Ovis aries: one gene and its partners. The main gene of each other region encodes a partner of the protein of the gene in region 3 in a complex. Links are inferred from orthologs where the notes say so. Each region holds a gene or a part of one and is shown on either strand. Other genes may lie near its edges. The genes, in order: GON7, OSGEP, LAGE3 and TPRKB.

What was found.
Region 1: the proteins of LAGE3 (region 3) and GON7 are in contact, whole or in part, in a crystal structure (PDB 6GWJ), measured with the Homo sapiens proteins. The link is inferred for Ovis aries from reciprocal best matches to the Homo sapiens genes LAGE3 and GON7. Residues at the interface, in NP_006005.2 of Homo sapiens: Pro60, His61, Ile62, Phe63, Thr64, Leu65, Ser66, Val67, Pro68, Phe69, Pro70, Glu74, Arg102, Ile103, Glu111, Cys113, Leu116, Arg117, Val120, Ile121, Leu124, Asp125, Leu127, Ser128, Val131, Arg132, Met134, Gln135; in NP_115879.2 of Homo sapiens: Met1, Glu2, Leu3, Leu4, Gly5, Glu6, Tyr7, Val8, Gly9, Gln10, Leu17, Asp28, Pro29, Phe30, Gln31, Leu33, Leu34, Val37, Met40, Lys41, Val44, Thr45, Leu47, Phe48, Asp49.
Region 2: the proteins of LAGE3 (region 3) and OSGEP are in contact, whole or in part, in a crystal structure (PDB 6GWJ), measured with the Homo sapiens proteins. The link is inferred for Ovis aries from reciprocal best matches to the Homo sapiens genes LAGE3 and OSGEP. Residues at the interface, in NP_006005.2 of Homo sapiens: Glu76, Ile77, Gly80, Ser81, Leu82, Pro84, Asp85, Asp125, Gln126, Leu129, Val130, Arg132, Thr133, Met134, Arg136, Phe137, Gly138, Pro139, Pro140, Val141, Arg143; in NP_060277.1 of Homo sapiens: Arg50, Ile53, Leu54, Asp55, Leu57, Gln58, Leu61, Gln69, Ala84, Val87, Ser88, Val91, Val92, Arg94, Thr95, Val96, Gln98, Leu99, Trp100, Asn101, Leu315, Ser318, Gly319, Val320.
Region 4: LAGE3 (region 3) and TPRKB share a complex: the UniProt entries of both Homo sapiens proteins name them as parts of the EKC/KEOPS complex. The link is inferred for Ovis aries from reciprocal best matches to the Homo sapiens genes LAGE3 and TPRKB.

The regions. Positions count from the first base shown.
Region 1 is NC_056071.1:55,647,990-55,655,193, forward strand, and holds the start of GON7 (EKC/KEOPS complex subunit GON7), read right to left. Parts: upstream 3,753-7,204; 5' UTR 3,696-3,752; coding exon 3,488-3,695; intron 1-3,487. Other genes in the region: putative E3 ubiquitin-protein ligase UBR7, read left to right, coding at 3,950-4,099, 5,986-6,119, 6,713-6,773. UniProt on the Homo sapiens protein: Component of the EKC/KEOPS complex that is required for the formation of a threonylcarbamoyl group on adenosine at position 37 (t(6)A37) in tRNAs that read codons beginning with adenine.
Region 2 is NC_056060.1:24,952,555-24,959,652, reverse strand, and holds the end of OSGEP (tRNA N6-adenosine threonylcarbamoyltransferase), read right to left. Parts: intron 6,959-7,098; coding exon 6,839-6,958; intron 6,659-6,838; coding exon 6,483-6,658; intron 4,271-6,482; coding exon 4,175-4,270; intron 4,045-4,174; coding exon 3,995-4,044; intron 3,850-3,994; coding exon 3,771-3,849; intron 3,203-3,770; coding exon 3,137-3,202; intron 3,045-3,136; coding exon 2,954-3,044; intron 2,730-2,953; coding exon 2,654-2,729; intron 2,558-2,653; coding exon 2,459-2,557; intron 2,308-2,458; coding exon 2,268-2,307; 3' UTR 2,119-2,267; downstream 1-2,118. UniProt on the Homo sapiens protein: Component of the EKC/KEOPS complex that is required for the formation of a threonylcarbamoyl group on adenosine at position 37 (t(6)A37) in tRNAs that read codons beginning with adenine.
Region 3 is NC_056080.1:79,961,982-79,968,135, reverse strand, and holds LAGE3 (EKC/KEOPS complex subunit LAGE3), read right to left. Parts: upstream 3,155-6,154; 5' UTR 3,108-3,154; coding exon 2,914-3,107; intron 2,590-2,913; coding exon 2,461-2,589; intron 2,296-2,460; coding exon 2,181-2,295; 3' UTR 1,961-2,180; downstream 1-1,960. UniProt on the Homo sapiens protein: Component of the EKC/KEOPS complex that is required for the formation of a threonylcarbamoyl group on adenosine at position 37 (t(6)A37) in tRNAs that read codons beginning with adenine.
Region 4 is NC_056056.1:95,598,122-95,605,492, forward strand, and holds the start of TPRKB (EKC/KEOPS complex subunit TPRKB), read right to left. Parts: upstream 4,335-7,371; 5' UTR 4,197-4,334; exon of another isoform or gene 3,602-4,196; intron 2,097-3,601; exon of another isoform or gene 2,094-2,096; 5' UTR 2,075-2,093; coding exon 1,934-2,074; exon of another isoform or gene 852-1,933; coding exon 729-851; exon of another isoform or gene 1-728. UniProt on the Homo sapiens protein: Component of the EKC/KEOPS complex that is required for the formation of a threonylcarbamoyl group on adenosine at position 37 (t(6)A37) in tRNAs that read codons beginning with adenine.

The DNA of each region.
Region 1 (7,204 bases), on a different chromosome or scaffold from region 3:
AAGATGTAAACAAGATGGAAAGAAAAGGAAAGTACAGTACAGTTTAAGCTCCTCTACAGAGGAGTTACACCTTCATGATCACAGCCTTGTCATGGTGAAGGGGCTTGTGTTATTCAATGAAGCTGCAAGCCATGCTGCGCAGTGCCACCCAAGATGGATGCGTCATAGTGAAGAATTCTGATAAAACATGGTCCACTGGAGAAGGAAATGCCAATCCACTCCAGTATTCTTGCCTAGAGAACCCCATGGACAACATGAAAAGGCAAAAAGATGACGCTAGAAGATGAGCCCCCAGGTTGGAAGGTGTCCAATATGCTACTGGGGAAGAGCAGAGGGCAATTACTAATAACCCCAGAAAAATGAAGCAGCTGGGGTAAAGCAGGAATGATGCTCAGTCATGGATGTGTCTGGTGGTGAAAGTAAAGTCTGATGTTGTAAAGAACAATATTGCATAGAAACCAAGAATGTTTGGAAGGTAAACTGGACACAGTCAAGAAGGAAATGATAGGAGTGAACATCAACATCTTAGGAATCAGTGAACTAAGATGGACAGGAATGGGCGAATTTAATTCAGATAACCATTGTATCTACTACAGTGGTCAAGAATCCTTTGGAAAGAAATGAAGTAGCCCTCATGGTCAACAAAAGAGTCTGAAATACAGTACTTGGGTGCAATCTCAAAAACGAAAGAATGATCTCGGTTCGTTTCCAAGGCAAACCAGTCAACATCACGGTAATCCAAGTCGATGTCTCAACCACTGATGCTGAAGAAACTAAAGTTAACTGGTTGTATGAAGACCTACAACTTCTAGAACTAATACCAAAAATGATGTCCTTTTCATCATAGGGGACTGGAATGCAAAAGCAGGAAGTCAAGAGATACCTGGAGAAACAGGTAAGTTTGGCCTTGGAGTACAAAAATGAAGCAGGGCAAAGGTTAAGAGTATTGTCAAGAGAACACGCTGGTCGTAGCAAACGCCTTTTTCCAATGACCCAAGAGACGCCTCTACACATGGACATCACTATCTGGTCAATACTGAAATCAGACTGATTATGTTCTTTGCAACTTAAGATGGAGAAGTTCCACATAGTCATGATCTGGAGCTGACTGTGGCTCATATCATGAACTCCTTATTATAAAATTCATGTTTAAATGGAAGAAAGTAGGGGAAAATCACTAGGCCATTCAAGTATGACCTAAATAAAATCCCTTATGATTATACAGTGGAGGTGACAAATAGATTCAGGGAATTAGATTTGCAGACAGAGTGCCTGAAGAACTATGGATGGAGGTTTGTAACACTGTGCAGTAGGCAGTGACCAAAACCAATCCAAAGTAAAAGAAATGCAAGAAGGTAAATTGGTTGTCCAAGGAGGCTTTACAAAGAGCTGAGGAAAGAAGAGAGGTGAAAAGCAAGGGAGAAAGAGAAAGATATACCCTTCTGAATGCAGAGTTCCAAAGAATATTAAGGAGAGATAAGAAGGCCTTCTTAATGAACAATGCAAAGAAACAGAAAATAATAGAATGGGAAAGACAGATCTCTTCAAGAAAATTGGAGACACCAAGGGAACATTTCATGCAAAGACAGGCATGATAAAAGGACAGAAATGGTAAGGACCTAACAGAAGCAGAAGAAATTAAGAGGTGGCAAGACTACACAGAAGAACTATACAAGAAGTCTTAATGACACGGATAACCACAATGGTGTGGTCACTCACCTAGAGCTGGATATCCTGGAGTCTGAAGTCAAGTGGACCTTAGGACTATGAACAAACCTAATGGAGGTGATAGAACTCCAGCTGAGCTATTTAGAATCTTAAAAGATGATGCTGTTTGATATGTCAGCAAATTTGGAAAACTCAGCAGCGGCCAGAGGACTGGAAAAGGTCAGTTTTTATTCCAATCCCCAAACCGTATGCAGGTCAAGAAACAACAGTTAGAACCAGGCAGGAAACAACAAACTTGTTCAAAATTGGGAAAGGAGTACATCAAAGCTGTATATTGTCACTCTGCTTATTCCAAGCTGGATGAAGCACAAGCTGGAATCAAGAGTGCCAGGAGAAGTATCAAAAACATCAGATACACAGATAATACCACCTTAATGGCAGAAAGTGAAGAGCAACTAAAGAACCTCTTGATGAAGCTGAAAGAGGAGAGTGAAGAAGCTGGCTTAAAACTCAACATTCAAAGACAAAGAAGATGGCACCCGGTCCCATCACTTCATGACAAATAGAAGGGGAAAAAGTGGAAGCAGTGACAGATTTTATTTTCTTGGGCTCCAAAATCACTGCAGACAGTGACTGTAGCCACGAAATTAAAAGACACTTGATCCTTGGAAGGAAAGCTATGACAAACCTAGACAGTGTATTAAAAGCAGAGACATCACTCTGACGACAAAGGTCTGTATAGTCAAAGCTATGGTTTTTTCAGTAGTCATGTACAGATGTGAGAGTTGGTCCATAAAGAAGGCTGAGTGCTGAAGAATTGATGCTTTTGAACTGTGGTACTGGAGAAGACTCTTGAGGGTCCCTTGGAAGGCAAGGAGATGAAATGTTAATCCTAAAGGAAATCAACCCTGAATATTCATTGGGTGGACTGATGCTGAAGCTGAAGCTCCAATAATTTGGCCATCTGAGGCAAAGAGCTGACTCACTGGAAAAGACTGATGCTAGGAAAGATTGAGGGCAGATGGAGAAGGGGGAGACAAAGGATGAGATGGCTGGATGGCACTGCAGTTTAAATGTACCTGAATTTGAGCAAGCTCTGGGAGACAGAGAAGGACAGAGGAGCCTGGTGTGCTACAGTCCATGGAGTTGCAGAGTTGGACACAACTGAGCGACTGAACCTCAACAACAACAATAGGGGAAGTAAGCCCTGATTCCAATATTTAGTTCTTAGGTTCTTCAGCTCAGGGTATTCAAGACAAGACTTAAGAATACAGTTAAAATTTCCATTTCTGCTTTCAAACTGCACCTACCACACTGGGAAATGAAAGGAGTCCCTGACAGTGAAGCCTTGTTCATCTGAAATCTATTCCAATCTTCAGAACCTGTTTCTATTCTGTAATAGATGGCGGTCTTCCAAACATATTTGTAAGTTCACGCCTGGGAAAATTCCTTTCCATCCTTCTAAGCCCAGCTTAGAAGTCATGCTCTTTCTGAAGCCTTCTTGGGTTCTCTAGGTTTGCAATAGTTACAAAGAAGCCTAGGGTCATTCCTTCTACTCTTTAATAAGAATGTTTGTCTGTCTAACCTCCCACAGAGTTCCACAAGAACAGGAACTGAGTCGCATTCACGTCATTCTTTCTCCAGAGTTCAGCCCAGTGACTGGCACAGGGCCGTAGGCGTTCAGTACGTTTTTTGTGTGACATAAATGAAAAGAGAATCGTCAAAAGCAGTCCTGCTAAACGAGTCCAGGTACAGCCCAAATTTCTCCGGGCGCCCCTGCCCGCCCTCCTGTCACTCGCTGAACCGTCTCAAAGCTCACCGTCCAAGGCCTCGTCGGGAGCCGCCGTCCCCCGGTCCTGTGCTTCCGGCTGTACCTGAGAGCCGAAGAGCTCAGTCACCAGCTCCCTCATCTGAGCCACACCGGACAACAAGCTCTGGAAAGGGTCGGTGACGCCCGGCGCCTCACAAGGCACCCGCAGCTGCTGTCGCTGCCCTTCCAGTCCGACGTACTCGCCCAACAGCTCCATAGCGACCGCTACGCTTCAGGAGCGCGCCACAGTGAGTCGCCACCGGAAACGGAAACCAGCCCGCCGCGGGCGCAGGCGCGGAGAAGGGAGAGGCCTGACTTCCGTTTGTCGGAAGTCGCTCCTCCCCCTTCCTTCGCTCCCTGTCTTTGGGATTGGTGTCTGGCACCGAGGCCCCGCCTCCTCCGGCCCCGCCCCTCGCGGACGCTTTTCCCGCCTCCGCCGGGGCCGGTCGGCGGTCCTGGTGACAGTTGAGGATGGCTGGAGCTGAGGAGCCAGCTGGGCGACAGTCGGAGTTGGAGCCCGTGGTATCGTTGGTCGATGTACTGGAGGAGGACGAGGAGCTGGAGAATGAGGCTTGCGCCGTCCTGGGCGGCAGTGACTCGGAGAAGTGCTCCTACTCGCAGGTGGGCGCGCGGCTCGGCCCTCGCCTCCGCTGAACCTCCCTTTCCCCACCGCCTTACCCTCTCTCTTCCCGCCGGCCGCGGCCGGCCCCCTGTGGTGGTCCAGCGCAGCTGTTGGTCGTAGGCTTCCCCATCCCAGGCCCAGGTGCCCTTTTACACTTAGTCTTCTGAGCCCCTTCTAACCTGTGGCCAGCAGGACGCCCCTCCTTTCTCGATTTTCCTCTGTCAGGCCCCCGACGTTTCTACGGTTTTGGCCCCAGAGCAGCTGCTCTTTCCTTCCTTCCTCGTCTCTTCTCTGTGCCCCGGCCGCTTTTCACCAAACCAACCCCGTGACCTTTCACATCCTGAGTATCTTTGTCCATACTTTTCCCATCCTCAGAGTATTTGCTGGGTACTAAACGGAAGAGTCAAATAATTAAAGGAGAGAGCTCTGGGTTTGAAAATCTCTCCGCGTAGGCTGGACTCCTGGACAGCTGGTTCCTCTGCAGTTTAGTTTGACAGGTGCTAGCTGGTTTTTTTTTTTGGCGAGAGGAAGCAAGTACCACGTCTCTCTGCAGTCGGCCCTCCAGGGGCATAGACCGGAACCCGAACAGCTGGTGGCACTGGCAAAGGAAAGGAGGGGAGGAGAGATGGCATTCGGAAGATGGTGGGAACAAGGACTGGAGGGGGTGTGACGTAGTGTTTGGTGACTCATTCTATGTTTCTAGGTTCAAAAATGGAGAAAGGTGGTAGAAGAAAACTAATGAGAGATGGTACTTGATAGGAAGAAGGTTATCTTCCAGGCAGGTGGAGTGGAACATTGCAGGATGGGGAGAGAGACATGGGGTCTTTACGTGGTGTTGCTTGAGATCACAATACCAGTTGTTATCAATGACCAGTTGAGTTTACACTGCAAAGTGGTTAGATTTTTTTTTTTTTAATACACCTGGCTTCAGAGGTATTTAATGTTGGCTGATATTTTAAAACCTTTGGTCGCCACTGGAACAACTTTTTCTCTGTTTGCCTTTTTTAAAAAAGCCTGTAAGTTATTTTTGAAACGTAGTTAGATTTTTAAAACAGACTTCCTTAAAAAATTTTTTTGTATTGTTGTAAAATATGTGGAAAAGTGCAGAAACCATGTATAAGTCTTGGGAAAGCAAAACTGAAAACACCTGCAGGTACATACCACACAGATCAAGAAATAGAACATTACCAGCATCACAGAAGCTTTCCTGGGACTCCCTTCTTCTCAGAAGATGGCAGCCATTATCAGGATTTGCTTTTCTCTCGACTTTTTATTTTGAAATGTTTAAAGTCTACAGTTAAAATGAAAAAATAATATTATGAACACCTGTGTACCTTCACATATATTCACTTTTTAATATTTTACCACATTTGTTTTATCTTTTACTTCTTCACTGTAATATACTTTGTTTTTGTTTCCTGAACCAGTTGAAAATAAATTTCAGACCATGACACTTCAACTCTAAATATGTCAGCATACATCTTAAAATCAAAGGGATTCATTTAATGCACTGGTTTTCTCTTTGGTGGAATCACAAGCATTTTCCAAAATTAAAGTATGATTATTCCTTACATAAGCTTACACACATTCTCCTGTATTTTCATGTGTTAAAATAGTTAAGCAGACCGGTTTATTCACAGCTGACTAAAAATGTTAACTTCTATCACTTTGAGAAAAAGTTATATGAAACGTGTATGAAACCTGCAACAGTGTTTTGGTATTCTATTGTATATGCTTTTTTATTAGTCTCAGTGGCTTTTACAGGAAGATCTTGACCCCAGATCATCTGATTTCAGTTATTTCTCAGATCATAGTGTGGGCATTAGGTTGCTCTGCCAGTGTTTCATCAGTTTCCGGTCTTTTTCCATTTTGGGGCTGTCTTTAGGGTTCAGTAAAGAGACAAGCACTGTATGCCTGCAGTACCTGCACTCCAGAGGGAGAAGAACCGGCAGGAATTTGCCTGGCTTGCAGTTACGAATGTCATGGAAGTCATAAACTATTTGAGCTGTACACGAAAAGGTAAACTGGTCAGAGATTGATGCTGGATGCTTTTCAAATGTTTAGATTCTTTTCCAGTTGCACTTTTTTTCTTAATCATGTTTTTGCATTCAAAGTAGTTGTGCCCTGGTAAAATTTAATGCAACTGTTTTATATAATGTAATCGGAAAGAACAGTTTTTCCAGGGGACCTTTTAAAATATAATTATGAGGCAAACTCAGACTACTCCTGCTATCCTTCCACTGTTTTATGTGTGTGTGTGAGATACAGATATTTGTCTTTATGCATGTTAATTTCTTGGAGAAGGAAATGGCAATCCACTCCAGTATTCTTATCTGGAGAATTCCATGGACAGGGGAGCCTGGTGGGCTACGGTCCGTGGGATCACAAAGAGTCAGACATGACTGGGCACACAGCACACACATGTTAATTTATAGAATTATTAAATCTTTTATTGTAATATGCTTGGGAAAATTGCGGATTGGATACATGAACAACAACCAAGTCCAATTTTTAGATCCTAGAAGCTAATTGAAAGGGAAGAGGCTATGATATGAATGTAGTCTTTAGACTTAGAAGAAAAATTAAAATTGGCTCTTCCTCCTTTCTTTCAGAAATTTTCGTTGTGATTGTGGAAACAGCAAGTTTAAAAATTTGGAATGCAAATTGTTTCCTGTAAGTAACCACAGTAAACGATAAATGCATAGAAAGTAGCTAAGATTTGTATTTGTCCTAGGGGATAAAACCAAGAATTTTCAAAAAGGAAGTTCTATGCTTCTTTGCCAATGGGCAAATCAATGTTAGACTGTACCCCAGTTTTTTATTTGTTGGAAAGCTAAGTAACCTGTTCAGAGCCTACCTATAGATTGTAATTAATATGAAAGGTTTTGGGGGTAGTGTTCTAAAGTGATTCAGGTTCAGTTGTGTTGATTGTGCTCATGCTCTAAGGCTTTTTAAAGAAAAGGGTATGACTTTTAAAACAATAAATAAAACTGGGCAATAATGAGCATGGGCTTTTGCAAAAGTTTTTCACTGCTTTTTGGATAATAAAGACTATCTTCTACAATAACTTAAGTGAAATACCAAAAATGAAACAGAAAATAAGG
Region 2 (7,098 bases), on a different chromosome or scaffold from region 3:
GTGGAGTATCATCTATAAAACTACTGAATCACTGTTATACATCTGAAACATAATACTGTAAATCAACTATACCTGAATTTTAAAAATAACTCGTGTTTTTAAAAAATTGAACAGGAAAATTGGAAGCAATTGGAAGGGGAAATGGGGTCAAGAGAGATTTGGGTCTTTGTTAAGATGAGAAAAATGACAGCGTGATTTGCATGCTCCAGCATATAGGATGCTCCAAGAAAGGAAAATACTGACCCTACAGGAAAGATGGGAGATGTCCTTGAAAGAGCTTGGGACAAGCTATCCAAGGATTTGGAAGGGAGCCTAGGCAGTTTGTTTAGAGCAACGCTTCTCAACCTTGACACAAATGACACTTCACCCCAGATAATTCTGTTGGGGGAAGCTGTTCTGTGTACTGTAAACTACACTGCAGCAGCCTTGGCCTCCACCCAGAGCACCACCTCTCGGTTACAACCCAATGCCCTCTGGGAGCAAACTCAGCCCCAGATGAGAACCACTGGTATGTAGCAACAGTAGAGAAAAATATAAACAACAGCAAAAATAATGAGGAAAAAAAAAAGATACAGTAACAGGAGAGAAAGCAGAGCATATGGGTATAAATGCTGGAAGTTATGGTAAGTGTAGTGGTAGAAGCTTGTGAACCTATTCACTGTCTCTATTTTCTACCAAAAACAATGAAGGGGATGTTGGAGATGTGAGGGATCAGAAGGAATAAAACAGGATCAGAAAAGTGGTAAGTAGAGAATTCCCAACTTTGATGCTGCAAGCAACACAGAGTTCCACCCCACCCCCCCAAAAAGGAGGGCAAGTGAAAAGACTAGCAAATACTACTTTTAGCATAACGGACCCACTGAAGTTTCTTGGTAATGAATTTAAAGTCAACGTGGCTGTTTTTCCCTAGCCCTTTCAGCTGAATGGGTGTAGGCATAAAGTCAGTCAAGAGTTGAGTGTGACAAAAGCAAGAGAAGCAAAAGAGATTAGTTGTTTGCAATGAGGTGCTCATGACTGGCACTTAGTTGCAGGACAGAAGTGAAGACACGTGGAGTCAATTGGAAAAATAGGAAGTAACGGTGGGAGAGTGGGATGTTTGAGACTGAGATATGGATTAGCAGTAGGGCTGGAATACGACCAGAGGAAGGAGTAGCTGAAGTGGGACTATAGGAAAAGATCAGTGGAGGTGCAAAGAACTGAGACCAGTTCAGTGTTAGCAAGATAATCTATATGGGTATTTAAAGCACCAAGATTTATGACAGATATTGTTTTAAAGCTGAGGCATGTTAGAGATGAGAGTAGTCTAATAGCAGCATGAGGAAAAATGCGGCCTCCCACACTGCCTCCAGGCCGGCCTAGAGCTACAGTGGGTGTGAGAGAACCCACCGCCACTACAGGAGGCAGGAGCAGCAGAATCCTTAGGAGAAACCAGGGCTCAGAGCACAACCATGTACAGGGAACATTCAGAGATGATGCTGAGGATACATGGGATTTCTGCTAATGACTGGCTGCTAACTTCAGAGATTACAAAAAGAATTGCAAGAGTTAAAGAAGCGGGTGGACAGGGACAAAAAAGGGAATGGAGAGTAATGGTTATTAGAGTTTAAAAGAGAGGTGACTTGATAGTCACACTTCTTATGGTGACTGGTATAAATAAAAGTGCATGATGAGGTTAATTCTGGTGGTTGTGGCAGGACACGTACCCAGGGCCTCCCTCTGGTCTGCCAATGGAAATGTCTGTAGGCTTAAGTGTATGCAGGAGGGACAGTTTTACTTTTGAGTTATCAATTAGTATGAAATTATATCTGGCTTCAGGCTGTTTTCAGGGAAATCCTGAGTACCTACACTTCAAAGAATTTAAACACGGTGATGAATGTAAAGCAATTAACACAAGACCTGATGCTAAAATAGTACCAATGATAATGCATTCCTAAGGGAAGGTTAGAATATCTCAGAGATTCTCCTCAACTTTAGCTCCAGAGCAGCAGCTCCCAAGGCTACCTGCAGTCCGCCAGGGTGCTGCTCCGACCCCTGCCCTCCTTATCCATCGACCCATCAAAAGGATTTGACCACTGCCAAATGTATATTCTTCCAGAACACAAGTCAATTGCCAACATATAAAACCAAAAATATTTTAATACTGAGTCAATTCTTGAGGTTCAAATGATGAGACAAGGGAGTCCAAAGCCTTGTCAGGACAGAGATTAAGGCCTAGGGTCCCTTGGGCTCCACTCAGGGCACCAAATACTCCAATCCTGTTAACTTTGTTAGTCCCTCCAGGTCACTTCTACTTCATCTGTCCGATACCTGTTTAAAAGAGAAAAAAAAAGGAAAAACTTGGTGGACAGTTAACCCTTATTCCATTCTTCTTTGCCCTCATGATTCTGGGTCCTCTTCCTATTGGATTTTTGCCTACCTCCCATATAATGCTGTCTACCTCCTCCCAGGGGCCACTTACCTCTGTGTGATCCCAGATTCACTGAGAGGGGTCCTGTGTCCAGCCTGAAACATCTCCCACCCAGCCTGGGCTATCATGGCTCCATTGTCAATGCAGAATCTGGGAAGGAAAAGACATATGCAATTCATGATCTAAGGGTAGAAAATCACAGCAACTGGAGGGACAAAAAGTATGTGTGGGTGGGAGGGCCTTTACCTTTCATCTGTGGCATAAAGCCGAGCTCCACGTTCCTGGCACATGGTCTCCATCATTTCCTGTAACCTCACATTACCTACAGAGGCAGGGGTACGATTAGCTTATTTTTAGCCATTTCTCCAGTCTAGCTATACACCTCATGTGCACTGACTTAGGAAAATGAAGTAGGGGCAAGGACTGGGAAGCATAGGACAGAAACAAAATAAGTAATTTCCCCAAACCCTTAGAGATTAAGAGTATCAGGAGCAAGATGCACATGCCCCAAAATACAAAAGAGAAGGTCAGTTCAATGATACATACATCCTACACCTCCCACAATGAGGGCCTCCTGGGAGCCACAGTGCGCCATGGCCCGCTCTGTGATCTCGACCAGCATTGCAAACACAGTTTCCTGTGGGGGACAGACAAGTTGAAAACATCAGAGGCGATCCCAGTTTAGTTCTGTCAGCTCCACCTTTCTATCCCAGCTCTTCACTTCATTACCTGCAGGGAGAAGCACAGATCCTCGGGAGTACACTCTCCAGTGGCCAGCATGCGCTGAGCTATGTCCTGTAGTTACAGGGGCAAACAGATAAAACAGTGAACTGGGGGTGACATGTGAGCAAAAAACTAGCACACTTGGAGGATTGCTATATTTTACCACAATTCACCCATACCAGTATATCGTATATCTTGCTCTTCACTGGCACTGAGCTATATCTATATATATAAAACCAGCAGCCTTCTTTCAAGATTCAATAATCATGAATGCCTGGCCTCTCACCTTCTGTCTCACCCTGGTAAATTTTTCTCCAGACTTATCCCCGTCTGACCCTTTTTATTTTTTTCCCATTTCTTTGTCTGTTTCTTTTTCTGTCTCCCTCCCTCCTTCCATGCCCCATGAAATGCATGCTCCAAGTAGGCAGATTTTTGTTTTGCTCCATCTAGTATCACTATTACCTCGAACAGCACTTGGTACACAAAAGATGTTCAATAGGTATTTGCTAGATGAATTTATTCAGCATCTAACATAGGCCAGTACTATGCTATATACTACAGAAAATACTACACTGAGCAAAACTCGCACACTTCACTAAAAAGCATGAAAGTGCCCATCTCCTCACCTCCCCACACTCACCTCAATAAAAGACAAGATCCCAGAGAATGAGACGTCCATCCCCTTTACAGTGTATGGCAGCTCAACTAGCTTCTTGCCTCTATGTGGGAGTGAGTATATGAGGCACTAAGCCTGTAGTCAGCTGGCTGCTCACCCTCCAAAGCCCTCCCAAAGCTCATTAATACATACACAGGGAAATCCTTGGCACCCCACCAGTCAGCCTCCTTCTGCCTTATTCCCCTTACCGCTTTGCCATTTGCTCAATGTTGTAGCCTGGACTTGGGTCATTGGAAATCTAGAAGGAAAAACAGGATGAAGGCAGGTATCTATGAAGCAAAAGAAGCTAATTTATCTTCCCTTTCCTTTTCCATAGCTCTCCCAAAATTCATTCACAACTTATATTCTCTGTAGCCTCAATGACTCACCTTCAGCACTCGAGCAAAACGATCCAGACAATTACCCACAGCAATATCGATGGTTTCCCCAAAGATGCGGTAACGATGTTCTGAATACGCAATCACCTAAGGGTGATGAGGATGTCCATGAAACCTCAAGTCTGTAAAGAGGAGCATTTGGCTTGGGGAAGAACATAGCAGAGGATCAATGTGGCCACTAGAACTTCAATAACCAATGGAAATAAAGTACTTTCCCAGTCCCTCAACAGGTACTTTTGAATAGCACTTCTGAGAAGTCTATATACACCCTAAAGATTCCTAGAATAGACTTCTAGTCTAAAGACGGTAACCTAGGAGGGGAGAGAAGTAAATTACCATTTTGGATACATTTTTCTAGCTTGGAGGTTGCTGATATTCCTTTAAAAGCAGTCAAGACAGTGTGGACTAGGGAAAGCTTTCCTTCTTGGAGGCAGGGAACCAGAGTTCTTCAACATTATCCTATGAGGGTGGTAATATTTGGAAACCACTAAGGTAGAGTTAAAAAAAAAAAAAAAAATCAAAAATCCCAGGGAATTCCCTGAACCTGGTTGCAAATGCATTCAGTCCCTGGCAGGAGAACTAAGATCCCACAAGCCACTTGGTGCAGCAATAACAACGAAAACAAAACCCCAAAATTCCATACTGGGTCAGACTAATTGCTCATCCAGCTCAGCACTGGCAACCGACTTCTGTCCACTCTTCATATGGGACCAACTTCTAGCACAGAGAGTATTCATCACCCACTGACACTTAAGCTCCAGACTTCTGACAGTACTTCCAAAGGATCGTTAAGTCCCTTTCCCTTTCTGGTGCTGCTAGGGATTTTCTTCCATTCTGATGTAGCCCTTACTCTACTGATAAAAGGTTGGAAACAAAAGCATAAAGAAAAATTCTGTAGTCAATCATCTTGTTTTTCACACCTAAGCAGGCTTTAAAGGGAAAGAGGAAAAGAGAAAATTCCATCACTGCTCATCTCAAGTAAATCTTGTAAGCTTCCACTGTTACTTTCCACACCCTAAGTTTCTAACCTTGTACAATAAATATCCTTCAGGCCTCAACCAATTACTTGTTCTCTACCCATTAAAGTTCTCACGTCATTTTCATAGAAATGCATGCTTCATCTTTAATAACTATTTCACAAAATGAACTTTTGGAATATAATCCTTTCAGGAGAGAGGAATCAGTCTGGACAATAATCCCATCAGGTGTTAGGTGGAAAAGGAAGGCTAGAGTTCTCCCATCTCAACTTAAAAAGATCTTGTAAGGTATCCCAAACAACTCTGGCTTCATCTATAAATTTAAAACATCTTCCACCATTCATAAAATGTTATTTAAATTACTTACATTTTCACTCTTAAAAAAAAAACAAACCTATATATTTACCATCAGTAACTAAAACAAAACAAATGTTGTAAAGAAACAAATGAGATAGTACCCTTTAGTTTCTTTTTTTTAAAAAAAATTTTTCTGGCTGCACCTTGAGGCATGTAGGATCTCAGTCCCCTGACAAGGGATAGAACCCGTGCCCCTGGCACTGAAAGCAGAGTCTTAACCACTGGACTGCCAAGTGCCCCTTAATTTTAATTGCTAACATTCATAGGAAAAATAAGCTTCAAAATAATGAAAATAAAAATCCTTAAACACTTCAATCCTTACTATTTTTTCCTTCTCTAAGCTGGAAATTCCTCATCTCGATAGCCACGTATAAAGGTCATCCAATGTTCCAGTGTATCACTTTTTAGCTTCAGATGAGCCCAGTTTTCCTACCACTCAGGCAGAAAGTGAAAGTTGCTAGCACAGTGCCTCAGAAATTAAGAAGGACTGGTGGAACTCTTCTGCTGTAGTCCTGAATGGCTTCTGTCAAAATGGCCAAGTTCATGAAACCTGGGAGGTGGTGATGCCCCTGGCCAGTCATCATGAACACCTATGATCTTGCTACCTTGCTAGCAAGGTACAAAGTGAAAGCTACCATGGGCAAGAAGAAAACTGCCAGGAGGTCAGAGAGCAAGTCTTTTGTGAAAGTTTGTAACTTGAAGTATACCACTTCAAGCCCACAAGGTACTCTGTAGGTATCCCCTTGGAAAAAACTGTGGCCAAGGAGAATGTCTTCAGATACCCTGCTCTTAAATGTGCATCCCAACAAGAGGTCAAGGTCAAGTTTGAGGAAAGATACAAAACCAGCAAGAACAGATGGTTCTTCTAGAAGCTGTGGTTTTAGATCTGTTTTGTTTCAGTTATTAAAAATACCCAAAAATCTGAGGGGAAAAAAAAAAAAAGAACCGTGAAGAATTCTAAATACCTGTGTATTTCCTCCACTGACATACAGCACAGTTGGGTTGGTGGCTCCAGTGATGAGGCGGCCCATCTCAATGTGACCTATACAGTGGTTAACACCCAGCAATGGCTTATTCCATAACTGGGCCACAGTACGGGCCACAACAGCCACAGAAACCAGTGGGGCACCCATGCCAGGACCTATGGGGACAGAATAGGGCTTAGAATCCTATAGAGATTGGGAAAAACAGAGTTGAGGGAAGCGGGGGATGTGAAGGTACAGCGGATGTAGTGGTGGTTTCAAAGGTGAGGTGCAGACTATTTTGACCTAGCTGGGTTCCAGGTATATTCTTCCACTGCTGTGCACACTTCTAGCTATACCTTTGGTGTATGCGATGCAATCAATATCCTCAGAGGTTAATCCAGCCTCTGTTAGTGCCTCCTGCAGCAGGTCCAGGATAACAGCTCGGTGGTGCCTAGCAGTATCACCTGGAAGGAATCCTAGGAGACGGACACAAGTCAGAGATCCTAAGAATTTTCCTACAGAAAGGCACCTAGAAGTCAAAACAGACATTTCAGTAGGGTAGGAAGAGTCCCCTCCCTTTTCCTCAAACATCCTGTCTTCAGATATAGTCTTTTCA
Region 3 (6,154 bases):
ATAGCCCGGGGCCCTTCATTAGTGCCTTGCTTTGGGCCCTGCGTGGGGAGGGGGCGACTGGACCAAGCCCCCCACCACAGCAGCAGCAATACCCCCACCCTCCCCCTGCCCTCTTGCCCGGTCTGGTGATCACCCCTGACCTCCTTGCTATTTATGCCTCAGCCACCTATTTATTTAATTTATCTCCACTCACCCTTTCCATCTGTAAATACGCCCCCCCCCATCCACCCACCCCTGCCCCAGATGTCCCAACCTTACTCACCTCCTCGAGTCCTCCGGCTCCCCCCTTGGCCTCACCTCTGGCCCCACCCCTTCCCCTGGCTGCCCCTGCCCATCTCCAGGAGAGGGCCTGGACACCAGCAGCACTCGGGGTGGGCAAGGCTCCAAAGGTGCCCTCAGACTATGGCTCTGCGGAGGGGGTCCCCCAGCAGCTGACACAGAAGCCTGTCCAGACTTCTCGGGCTGGGCCTGGGCCTCCTCCCAGGCCGTGTTCTCTGAGGCCTGGAGGGCTTGAATCAGGCTCCTGCCAGGGCCAGACCTGGGCCTGGGGGCACCGGACTCTCCTCCTCCAGGCCCTGCTGCCAAACTCCATCTGTGGGGTCTGCACGCCCCCAGACCACTCACCCTCCGCTGCCCTGCCCTGCGCACGCCTCGAGGGGCAGAGGTGGCAGTGCCTTACTCCTTTGTTCTTCTGCCTCCTTGGAGGAACCTGGCCCCAGTCCATGCTCCTACAAACCCGATTTGGCCTCTTTTTCTTTTCTGCATGAGGTTTTCTTTGACCTGTCATTTTTTTTTTTCCTAATTAAATGTTGGGAAACAGAGTTGGCATGTGGCTTTGTTCTCAGGGCAGGTGGGGAGACTGTCGGATTCTGCCTGAGCTGGAGGCCATCTGTGGGAGCAAGGGTGACTCCTTGTGGGGTTTCTGAGGATCTGAGGTGGTCCAGGGCAGCCATGTCCAATCCATCAATGAGGCTGGGTGGCTCCACCTTCAAGACATGTTCAGAAGCCACCCCCTTCTCCCCATCCCCACTGCCCCTGACTGGTCCAAGCTGCCCCTGTCTCTTGCCTGGACCCCATTTCTGCCCTGGCTTCCCTCAGCCTCTTCTCACCATGGGAGGCACCAGGACTCTGTCAATAAACATGGTGGCCCCTGTCCCCACTCTGTTCAAAATGGTCCAGAGCTTCATGGCCAACAAACACCTTCATGTCTGCCAGCTCTTTACTGTCCCAAGTGCACTGCAGTCAATTGTGCCCCTGTGCAGTGCTGAGGCCCTCAATCGCGTCTGACTCTTTGCGACTCCATGGACTCCCACCAGGCTCCTCTATCCATGGGATTCCCCAGGCAAGAATCATGGAGTGGGTTGCCATTTCCTCCTCCAGGGGATCTTCTGGACACAGGGATCAAACCCTCATCTCTTGTGCCTCCCACACTGGCAGGTGGATTCTTTACTGCTACACCACCTGGGAAGCCCCCAATGGTGACACTAATGTGGGGAAACCAGAATTCTGGTGGGAGGGCATTTTATGGACAGTAATTTCACATGCTTCAGATTGAGAGCTTTAAATATTTAATTAATTCTACTTCTTGTAATCTTAATCATTCATGCAAAGATCTATATACAAGTGTTCCATGGAATCATTACCTATAATATGGCAAAGACTGAAAATAGTTTAAACAATCAATAATGATTTTGAAGAATTTTTAGAAAAAAGTTCATGTTAGATGAGAAATACCAGGAAAAATGCTAAACTTGCAAAATATCAAATATTATTATTACACATTTACTATGTAACTATAAAACTCAAAAATACTCCAAAATATTGATAGTAGCTAATACTGAATGAGAGACAGGACCTATCCTCCTCCATTTCTTAGATTATCTTCACTTACACTGTACTACTTGACTATCTGAATCAGAACCCTCCCATCTAAGAACAAATGCAAGAATTTTGAAGGTGCTACAGTTGAAAATAAACTCATCATAGGTCAATTTTATTTTCAGTAGTTAAGAAACATTTAAGTACCAAACAATGCAAGTGGACCTTGAGCACCCAAGGGCCATTATAGCCAAAAGATGAGGCCCCCATAATAGGCAACTAGTGCAGGAATCACTGCCCTAGGAAGGATGCACTGTCTAGGAAGGGCCACCAGATCAGACCCCCCTTTCCCCAGCCCTGGCTTAGCGAGCAACAGGGGGCCCAAAGCGCTGCATGGTTCGCATCACCAGAGAAAGCTGGTCCAGAAAGTTGACAATGGAGATTCGAAGGAGGCGGCAATCTTCAGCTCTCCAGCAGCTGAAAATGACAGAAAAAGAGAATCAAGGTGGAGATGGGTTGAATCAAGGGCACTGCGTCACCTCCATAAACACAGCCCTTGAGTATGTCCAAACAGAGCGCCCCCGGCGAGAGACAAGCTTGGTCACCTGCTACCACTTCCAACCAGCCCCTTTTCCAACTTACACAGCCAGGACATTGCCGCTCACTGTGAGCTCCTTCCCAACCGCCCCACGGTGAGGTTCGGTATCTGGGGCCAGTGACCCATGGGCAATCTCTGCCTCCAACGCGGACGGGAAAGGCACGCTTAGGGTGCTGATGGAGATGCGGTTAAGGTACCACCCACAAGGATTTGGAGCTCTGGGTCCTGTCTCAGGACCGCTTCCAGCCCCTCCGGGCCGCTCGTAGCCCTAATCCAGCCCAGCCACCCCACTGCCCCGAGATCCCATTTCTCCCCCCGACCCACGCCACCCAGGCCCATCCCAGCTTCCAGTCTCCCTTCAGCTCTCTATTCTCTACCCGCCCCAGGCGCCCTGGCCATTCCACCCCCCAGCAGCCCCTGACCCGCCGGTCCGTTTGTCCCACCTCCCACCGCAGGCATCCCCCAGCCCAATCCGCACTGCCCCTCGAGTAGGATACAATACGCATGGTCGGCTTCCCGGCTTTTGGGAAGAGTGCTGGGCCGGCGCGACACCCGGAGCTCCGTGGTCTGCAGCGGAAGCAGCACCCGCGCTGCCGGGGCTGCCCCGGCCACCCCCGAACCCCCGCCGGCCCTGGCTTTCGGCGCCACCCGCCAGGATGCCTGCGCCTACGTCCCCACCTGTCTCCTGCATGGCTGCCGTGCTCCGCCTCCAACCCCACCCACTGGCTCCAGGACTCTCCGTCGCCCACCCGCTACGCGAGCAGCTTAAAAACTGCTGCTTCTTCCTGAAGCGCCGCCCCCGCCCCGCGCGCCGCCCCCGCCCCGCGCGCCGCCCCCGCCCCGCGCGCCGCCCCCGCCCCGCGCGCCGCCCCCGCCCCGCGCGCCGCCCCCGCCCCGCGCGCCGACCCCGCCCCGCGCGCCGACCCCGCCCCGCGCGCCGACCCCGCCCCGCGCGCCGACCCCGCCCCGCGCGCCGACCCCGCCCCGCGCGCCGACCCCGCCCCGCGCGCCGACCCCGCCCCGCGCGCCGACCCCGCCCCGCGCGCCGACCCCGCCCCGCGCGCCGACCCCGCCCCGCGCGCCGACCCCGCCCCGCGCGCTTGCGCAAACAGGTCTGGTGGAGCCGGCCGGCCGAGGGGAATCTCCGTTGGCCGCAGAGAAATGAATCTCCCTTCCTCAGTTCGGGGCTTCCCTTGTAGCTCAGTGGGTAAAGAATCTACCTGCCATGCAAGAGATCCGGGTTTGATCCCTGGGTCAGGAAGATCCCCTGGAGAAGGAAATAGCAACACACTCCAGTATTCCTGCCTGGAGAACCCCATGGACAGAGGAGCCTGGGGGCTACAGTCCGTGAGGTCGCAAGAGTTGGACACGACTTACTGACTAAACCACAGAGTCGGCCACGACTGAGCGACTAACTCTTTCTTTCCCACAGCTCGGGCCTTTCACAAACTGTATGACTCGATTTTAACTTCCCTTTTCTGTTCTGCAAGTTTTTGACAGTAACCTTATACGGCATTTTTAATCAAAAATAAGTTTTTAAAGTGACATGAAATTTCTGATGGTGATAGCCCTGTTAGTTTTCTGTTTTCCTCCTTTGTAATCAGAAGGAAGGGCATAAAGGTGAAGTAGGTTATCAAAGCCTGTTGGATCACCCCTCGAAATCCATCCTGAATCAGCCTACCCTCTCCCCCTTCATTGCTAGTCTCCACCGGTGGCCACCCTATCTCCCTGAACTTGATATATATATTTCACATATAATTTAATTGTTTTTGGCTGTGCTGGGTCTTCCTTCCTGTGAGGGTTTTTGTCTAGTTGCAGCAAGCGGGCTTATTGCAGTGCCTTCTCTTGTTGGCAGAGCTCAGGCTGTAGGGCGCGTGGGCTCTAGAGCACAGTCTCAGTAGTTGTGGTACTTGGCTTAGTGGTTCCCAGGCATGGGGGATCTTCATGGATCAGAGCTTCCAAGTCTCCTGCATTGGCAGGTGGATTCTCTACCACTGGGGCTTCCCTGGTGGATCAGATGGTAAAGAATCTGCCTGCAGTGCAGGAGACCCGGGTTTGATCCCTGGGTGGGGAAGATCCCTTGGGGAAGGGAATGTCTACCCACTTCAGTATTCTTGCCTGGAGAATTCCATGGACAGAGGAGCCTTGTGTGGGACACAATGGAGTGACTACTACTTTCACTTTTTTTTCTTCACCAGGGGAGCCCCTTGAACAGCTTTCTGACTAGTTTTCTTCTATGCTTGCTCCTCTACATTCTGTTCTCCACAGTAGAATCAGTTCTTAATTTTTAATATATATCACATCATATCATGTCCCTGCTTAAAGTTACTAAAACAGTTTCCTGTTGTCTTTGAAACCAAAGACAAACTCCTTCCTGTAGCTTATAAAAGTCCTGTGTGACCCGGCTCAGGGTTCCTCCACCTTCTTGCTTCCCTACTCTGTGCAACCTCTAGGGACTTCTCTCTGCTCCTGACCAAGGGTGGCCTGCCCGCATCCCTTAGCACTTACTTTTTCTTTTTGGAAGACTGTCTCCAGACTTTCCCGTTGCTGGCTCCTTCTTGTCATTAAGATCTAGTCTCCAGTGTCAATTCTGAGAGGCCTTTGGGATCACCAATCTAACATACTACCCCCAGGCACCGTGCATCACATTTGCCCATTTCAGGTTGCTCATTTCTAATAATCTGAAATTGTAAGTTTGTTCACTTCTATACTGTCATTGTATTGTCTCTGATACCTTTTCTATGTAGTTCATGCACTAGGTGGTTTGTTTCTTGTTGGATGAAACAACATTCTGTGTGCTCCGTTGTGTCTGACTCTGCGACCCCATGGACTGGACTGTAGCACGCCAGGCTTCCCTGTCCTTCACCATCTCCCGGAGCTTGCTCAAACTCATGTCCATTGAGTAGGTGATGCCATCCAACCATCTCATCCTCTGTTGCCCCCTTCTCATCCCCTCAAAAACTCAGACAGTGTCTTGGGCCTAGGAATGCCACATGTACCAGTTACTTCACAAATATGAAACAACATATGCACAAAATTACTTCAGTTCAGTTCAGTCGCTCAGTCATGTTGGACTCTTTGCGACCCCATCAATTGCAGCACGCTAGGCTTCCCTGTCCATCACCAACTCCTGGAGTTCACCCAAACTCATGTCCATCGAGTCGGTGATGCCATCCAGCCATCTCATCCTCGGTCATCCCCTTCTCCTCCTGCCCCCAATCCCTCCCAGCATCAGGATCTTTTCCAATGAGTCAGCTCTTCACATGAGGTGGCCAAAGTACTGGAGTTTCAGCTTCAGTATCAGTCCCTCCAATGAACACCCAGGACTGATCTCCTTTAGGATGGACTGGTTGGATCTCCTTGCAGTCCAAGGGACTCTCAAGAGTCTTCTCCAACAACACAGTTCAAAAGCATCAATTCTTCAGTGCTCAGCTTTCTTCACAGTACAACTCTCACATCCATACATGACTACTGGAAAAACCATAGCCTTGACTAGACAGACCTTTGTTGGCAAAGTAATGTCTCTGCTTTTCAATATGCTATCTAGGTTGGTCATAACTTTCCTTCCAAGGAGTAAGCATATTTTAATTTCATGGCTGAAATCACCATCTGCAGTGATTTTGGAGCCCCCAAAATAAAAGTCTGACACTGTTTCCCATGTTTCCCCATGAAGTGATGGGACCAGATGCCATGATTTTAGTTTTCTGAATGTTGAGCCTTAAGCCAACTTTTTCACTC
Region 4 (7,371 bases), on a different chromosome or scaffold from region 3:
TAATTTTCCCCAAGATACTGGGGAATCCCATTACTACCCATTTTATAAATTTTTCAAACATCTGCATTTTAAACCATGCCACACGTTTCCTAATCTTTCTCTCCATGTCAGTACTTGACTGTGTTTAGTAGTTAGTACTTAGTGAGTTCAATCGCTCAGTCGTGTCCAACTCTTTGTGACCCCATGAGTAATAATTAAACTTCGTCAGCAAAATTAGTTGGTTTTTTAAAAAATAAGCCCAGGTGGAATGTTTTTAACTCAAAAACTTTGATTACTATCAATCTCTCAAACACAAACTCTTCCTATGTACTGCATGTATGAGCATGTGTTAAGAGCTAGTCTAGGTATCCGGCAGATTTCTGGTCTATGGAAAAGGCATGGTTCTATCCTCAAAGAGTTTATAGGGAGAATAAAAGATGTGCATGGTAACACACAAATACCCATGCCTAATTTTTATCATGAGATTTAAATAGCATTTTCCTAACTCTGTATGTCAGGAAGGACAAATAAAACTATCCTCAATTACTTTAGCTAAATTTCATGAGTGACTCCAACGCTTACTTGTCTCGTAGGCGGCAATGCTAAACCTCAACTCTGTCCAGCACTCACTCTTCACTGTTATTTTGGTTTGTTACCAGCAACAGGCTCCAACCCAACACTGAGTCACACACAGGCTACCATGACAAGATCAAAAGATATAAATAAAGTATACATTCCATATTAATTACATTGTTATTTGGGGAAAGATTGAAAATAACTTCAGTAGATAGAGTTCTTGTCTTCATTTTCCCCAGTTTGTAGAGGTGAACTGCTTTGTTTGCGGCCACAATTATCTGAAATGGATCGACAATCTACCAAAGAGAACAGGAAGAATTACACACAAAGAATCTGGAGCACTCTGAAGAACAATGCCCTGTACCCTCGAGTATCAGGCTGTTTTACTTCATCACAATTTCTATATTTTCAAAATTGTCAAAATCTTAAGGGCCTAGGTGTTTAGAAAAATCACAGAATTCTACAGCTGCAGGCAATTAAGATACAAAGAGTTTTAAAACAACTTATTGAGGACTATTATTATGGGAAAGGCCATATTCTCAACATTTAAACTTTATTTTCTATTCTACTCAAACCTACCCTATTTGATATCTTTTATTATTTTTCATGTGCAATAAATGAGGAAACCAAGGCAAAGAATGGGTTGGAATTTCAGTTCTGCCACTTACCACCAAGGGAACCTGGGCAAATTCCTTAGCATTTTATCTTTTAGAAGCAGATAATCATCTCACTACTTCATAGAGTTGTTGTGAAGATTAAGTGAGTTAGCAGTAATATAAAGAACTTACCAAATAAGCACTGAATAAAGGCTACCACATGCTCAAAGTCATAATAAATGGCATAACTGGGACTTAAGTCCTGGTGATTCTACCACTGTGCAATGCCTCCTTTACAGAGGCTTTCTAGGTCACACAAGATGGGTATCTAGGCATCTGCCATCATATCAGAGGGAAACCACCTTTCACGTCAGGACGGGGCTCAGCACTTGGCTTCTGCTGCTGCTAAGTCATGTCCGACTCTGTGTGACCCCACAGATGGCAGCCCACCAGGCTCCCCCGTCCCTGGGATTCTCCAGGCAAGAACACTGGAGTGGGTTGCCATTTTTAAAGTGAAAGTGAAGTCGCTCATTCCTGTCTGACCCTCAGTGACCCCATGGACTGGAGCCTTCCAGACTCCTCCGTCCATGGGATTTTCCAGGCAAGAGTACTGGAGTGGGGTGCCATTGCCTTCTCCCACTTGGTTTCTATTCACTGTTAAACTGAAGGCTGGCCAAATCTGAATCCACTCTACAGGTTAGACAAGTCCTTTTACATGAAGATAACAATTTTGGGCTAACCCATAACATCATGAAAAATCACTCATTGCCATGAGTACTTACCACTGTAGGATTTATTAATGAGCCATCAATGGCACCTTCCATGGCCTTTTTTCTCAAGCCTGCAGCATTTTTTACATCTTTAAATAACAGAAGGGTCACCCTGTATTCAGGAAATAGGTCCAGCTGATGTGTTAACTGCATTTCATAGATAAGCAGGATGCTACTGCACAAGACCAAAAGACCAAAAGTTAACAACTGTAAGTCACTAACAAATATCCTTGCTCACAATTAAAGTATTACAACTTTAATAGTAAGATGTAGAACTGTTAAACTTGAAAAATCCACCCCAAAACATCTGGCAGCCTGATGACAGACTGTCTTCCTAACCCTGCTAAGCTGTTCTAGCTTCCTTCCTGGGAAACGATCAAGGGCAACACCAGGTCCCCTAGTTGTACAGAAAAGGCAGGCTCTGGATGAGGGGGAGATTCTCAACAACTAGGAGCAGGGCACCAAACACTTTTTAGACCACAGGGTACTTACAGCATTAAGGAAACCTCACTCCAACTTAGTCTTTTTAGCTTTCTAATCTCACCATTTTATTTATATTTTGACAGAATCTAGACATAAATATAAGGCAGAAAACAATCTTATAGAAGAAAGTATGACACAACTCAGATATTCATTACATACATGGGAATTTAAGCCTAGAGGGTACAATTCTTAAATAGTAACACCCTTTATAGACATAAATTTAACAAGAAAAGGACAGGGTATATACAAAAACATAAAAGCAGCATAAACAACAAATAACTGGAGAGACATAATCTATCTTTGAATGAAAATACTAAGCACTGCAAAAATATAATCTTTAAAACAATTTCAATTAAAGTCTCAGAGATATTTAGATGAAGCAATTTTATATAGGGTCACTTTATCCTTTTATCTAGGAGGTTTTATTTCCACCGTTTTTCTGAAGGAATAAATTGGCAATCTGAAGATTTATGTAATAAGATGTTTTTATCATCCTGAGTAAAAGGTTGAAAACCTACCTAACTAGTAACAGGCCCAACTACAGTGGCTTTACTGACCAACCACTAAAAACTGTAGTCTTGAAGAGTAGCTAAGGATGTGTAAATATAGTAATAAATAACATTAAGTACTTAACATCTGATTGGAAAATAAAACAAAATGTTCATAATATGTGGGTTTTTTAAAATGGACACAAAAAGAAAACTACTGGAAAAAACAACAAAATATTATCTTTGACTTGCTGGAATTACATCTGATTTTTTCTGTTACAATCTGGAAAAATAAAATTGTGAATAGTGTCTTGGCACAGCAGGGCCACACAATCTTTATTATCATGATAATATCCAATGGAAAAAATATATATACATAAAATGTATACCCAATTCTACCAAAAAAAAAAAAAAATTGATTCAGAAAACAAAAACAAAGGAAGCACACCAAAATACGGCCATCTTGGGTAGCAGAATTACAGACAATTTTGTTTTCTAGAAAAAATATTTTTGCATGTTCTGAATTTTCTACAGTGAGCACACAAAAGATAATGAGTACATACAACCAGGGAGGAAACAATTTTTTTGTGTTTTTTGTTTTTACAGTAGGGGGAAAAGGGGGCCTATCAAATGTCAAAAATGGTTTTGGTTTGTTTTATATAATTCACTCACTTAGGTCAGAAACTTCGAACCATCGCTGGATACTTACCTTCCACTCAAATCCCATATCTTATGCAAAACTCTTGTCAATTTTTAAGTATCATCTTGAAGGGTCCAATTCTCTCCCATACCTACTCTGCCACTGCCGTTGGCCACCTTCTCTCCTCAACAGCGGTGACCTCCTAGAAGTCGCCTCACAATTCCTTCCCTCCTATCATCCAACTTCCACCCGGGAGTCAAAGTGATCTTTTCAAAACGTACACCAAATCCTGCCCTGCTATCAAGTCCCTTTATGTCACGGAGTCCCAGACTATGATCTGAGACCTTCCTCCCTCTTCCGCTTCCTAGCGCAGCCCTGCAGACAGCGCTCATTTCCCCTCAGCCGCACTGGCCCTTCCAGCTTGTCACCACCCCCAGTCCCTACCCAGCACGCCCCCTCGGACAGGCGGTTACTCTGAATTAATCCTCCCTCCCTTCGACTGGCCAGTAAGAGCCCATTTGCCGGCGCCCCCAGGACTAGTCTCCTATTCTCCGAGCTCCTCTGTTACAACTTTGGTGAGTCTGAGGCTCATCAGAATGCTGTATCGTCCGCCCTCGAAGGGAGGCTGAGCCGATCACTGCCGGGCTGCATCCCAGGACCCGACCTTAGCAAACGCTCGATAAACGAGGGCGCCGAAAATCACAGGTATCATCTGGAAAATCACTGGTCTCCAGTCCCCGCCCGCCCCGGCCAGCGATGTGGCGCCAGGTACTCACCGTCGCGTCCCCGTCCGTCTCGTAAGATCTTCCCCACGGAAACAAAGCGCTCAACTTCCGGGAGATCTGCCGCAGCTGCGTTCCTTCCTCGCCCTACCCGACCCTGCAGTGTCATTTCAGGTCGGGGTCGGAGGGAGGTTCTCAGCTACCTCCTTACACAGAGTGTTTCGCCGGCGTGAGTCGCGTCCGCTGACCCGAAGGGGAGCAGGGGCTCGGTGCGCCACTTCCTATGAGAGTGGCGGCAAGGCTCCTCCGACCGGGCCGGAAGCTTGAGTGCGGGTCTTGGCCGCGTCCTTAAGCCGCTTGGCCTTGAACGAGACATCCTGTTTCATCCTATGCGAAGAAAATTAATGGTTCCGATGAGCTCTACATATGTCTCCGCTGCTCGAGATTCTACAGTTCTTTTTCGAGGCAAGCAGGACTCAGTTTTTTCTTGTTCTGGACGAGGTCCAGTTGGCCAGGATCTCCTGGAGCCGAAAGCGCTCGGCGATCTGCCTAGGGTATTTGAGAGAGGTGTCAGTACAACCTCTTCCCCCAGCAGGCTCCCGTTTGCCATCCCTGAGTGTATCAGCCTCCGAAAGAGGAGGTCATCCGCTAAATGGGTGTTTTTCTTCCATGTTATTCTAATATGTTATTCTTCCATGTTTTTTATGCTTGGGGGCTCATCTAGGTCAATACTTTTCTTTAAACAAAAAGGTAAATAATAAATAGGATAGATATGTGCTATGGAGAAAAAAAACTAGAGAATAGGGGGTAATGTCAGGCCGTGAGTATTACCGTTTAAAATAGGATGGTTAAGAAAGATCTCACCAAAAAGGGCCATTTGTGACTGGGGGAGGTTTGGAGGCAGGTTCTGTGTGTATCTGAAGAGCAGCAATTCCAGAGAGAACAGAGAGAGTTAAAAGACTCAGAACAGATATGGCCTCATTTAAGAAAGAGCAAAGAGAACCGTGTGGCTTGAGCCCAGTGGGAATATATATGAAATTATTCTGAGGAAAGACTGGTATCCAGATTATATAACCAACTCCAATTCGAAAATAGTAAGAGACACAACCTGATTAAGGATAGATGGCACAATTGAACACATTTTAGGAAAGATACATGAAAGGCCAATAAAAACATGAAAAGATGCTCATCATTAGTCATCAGGGAAATAGACACAAATTAAAAACATAATGAGTTATTACTACATACCCATAAGAATGCTAAAATTTGAAAGACCTTAAAATTTTTAAATATCAAGTGTTGTCAAACATCCAGAACTGGAACCTTCACATATTGCTAGTCGGAGTATAAAATAAAAATAGTGTAACCACTTTGGAAAAGAGTTTGGCAGTTTCTTAAAAAATTAAATGCATGGCCCCAGTGTTAAAGAATCCACCTGCCAGTGCAGGGATGCAAGACTGCTGGTCTGATCCCTGGGTCAGGAGAATCCCCTGGAGGAGGGCATGGCAACCCACTCCAGTGTTCTTGCCTAGAGAATCCCATGGACAGAGGAGCTGGGCAGGCTACAGTCTATGGGGTTAAAAAGAGTCAGACACGGTTGAAACAACTGAGCACACTCCCTTGCACGTGCGTACTTAACCATTCGCAGCAGTTCCACTCCTTGATATTTAACCAGGAGCAGTGACAACATGTCCACCCACAGGCTTGAACATAAATGTTCATAGCAACTCTACTCATGATGGCCCCAAACTGGGAACAACCCAGTGCCCAATAATACATGAATGGATAAACAAATCATGGTAAATTCATGTCATGAAATACTATTCAGTAATAAAAGGAATGAACATACTTGCAACATGAATCAATCAAAAACATGCTCAGCAAAAAAAGCAAAGTAAAATTGTTACTGTATGTTTCCATTTCTACAAAACTATAGGGATTGCAAATATAGCAAATTTATTCTAGAGTGAAAGCAAATTAGTGGTTGTTAGGGACGGGGAAGTGGGAGACACTGGGAAAAAAAAAAAAAACCAAGAGAACATTTGTGATGAAGCCAATGTTCTATGTCCTGATGTCATGTTAATTACAAGGGAACCTGCATTAAAATGCATCAAATTATGTCATTTTAGAAAGTACATTTTGTAAAATTTCTCAGTAAAGTTGATTTAAAAAGACAAAGTTGTCCAGTTCAAAGTGACTTGTCTGTGATCACCAAAAGCTAGAAACAACCCAAACCCTTGTTAAGTGAATAAACAAACTGTATATCCATACAATGGAACACAACTTGGCAGTTAAAAGGAAATCAACTATTGCTACATACAATAACATTGACAAATTTCAAAATTATGCTGAAAAAAAGTCAGACATAAAAATAGTGTATCCTGTGATTCCATCATTTACATAGAACAGATCCTACTGTATAGCACAAAAAACTGTATTCAATATTCTGTGATAAACCCATAATGGAAAAGAATATTAAAAGGAATAGAATATATATTCAGTATATATGTATAGCTGATTCACTTTGCTGTACAGCAGAAACTAACACAACATTGTAAGTCAACCATACTTTAATAAAAAAAAAAGTTTAAATAAAACGGAAAGTAAATTTGCTGAATTGCTTCATAAGGAAATAGAAAAATGCCTTGTGTCAGGCTGTTGAAAATGTTCTCTCTTGAACATAACCTCTAGCAGATGGAAAGAGGGCTCTTTAATGTTTCCATTTTCTTTGATGTTATTAATATTCCCTTATAATCTGTGTATGTGGTCACAGTTGGTCTCTTGAAGTAGTTCTACTTTACCCCCGATTTCTGAAGTCATTAATGTCAATATAGTAGCAACCACTACCACCTACCTGTGGAGAAGGAAATGGCAACCCACTTCAGTATTCTTGCCTGGGAAATCCCATGGACAGAGGCGCCTTTGGTAGGCTATGGTCCATGGGGTCGCAAAGAGTCAGACATGACTTAGTGACTAAATAACAATTCTACTGGGGGTATATAAGAATAGAGTGGTGAGGGTGAGGAACAGGCTTCACAGGGAGCCAAAAAGACAGGTTGTTTGGTGTATGTGTTCACTCAGCAGGTTGGTTCTTCTCTGGAAGGCTTGGTAGGAAAA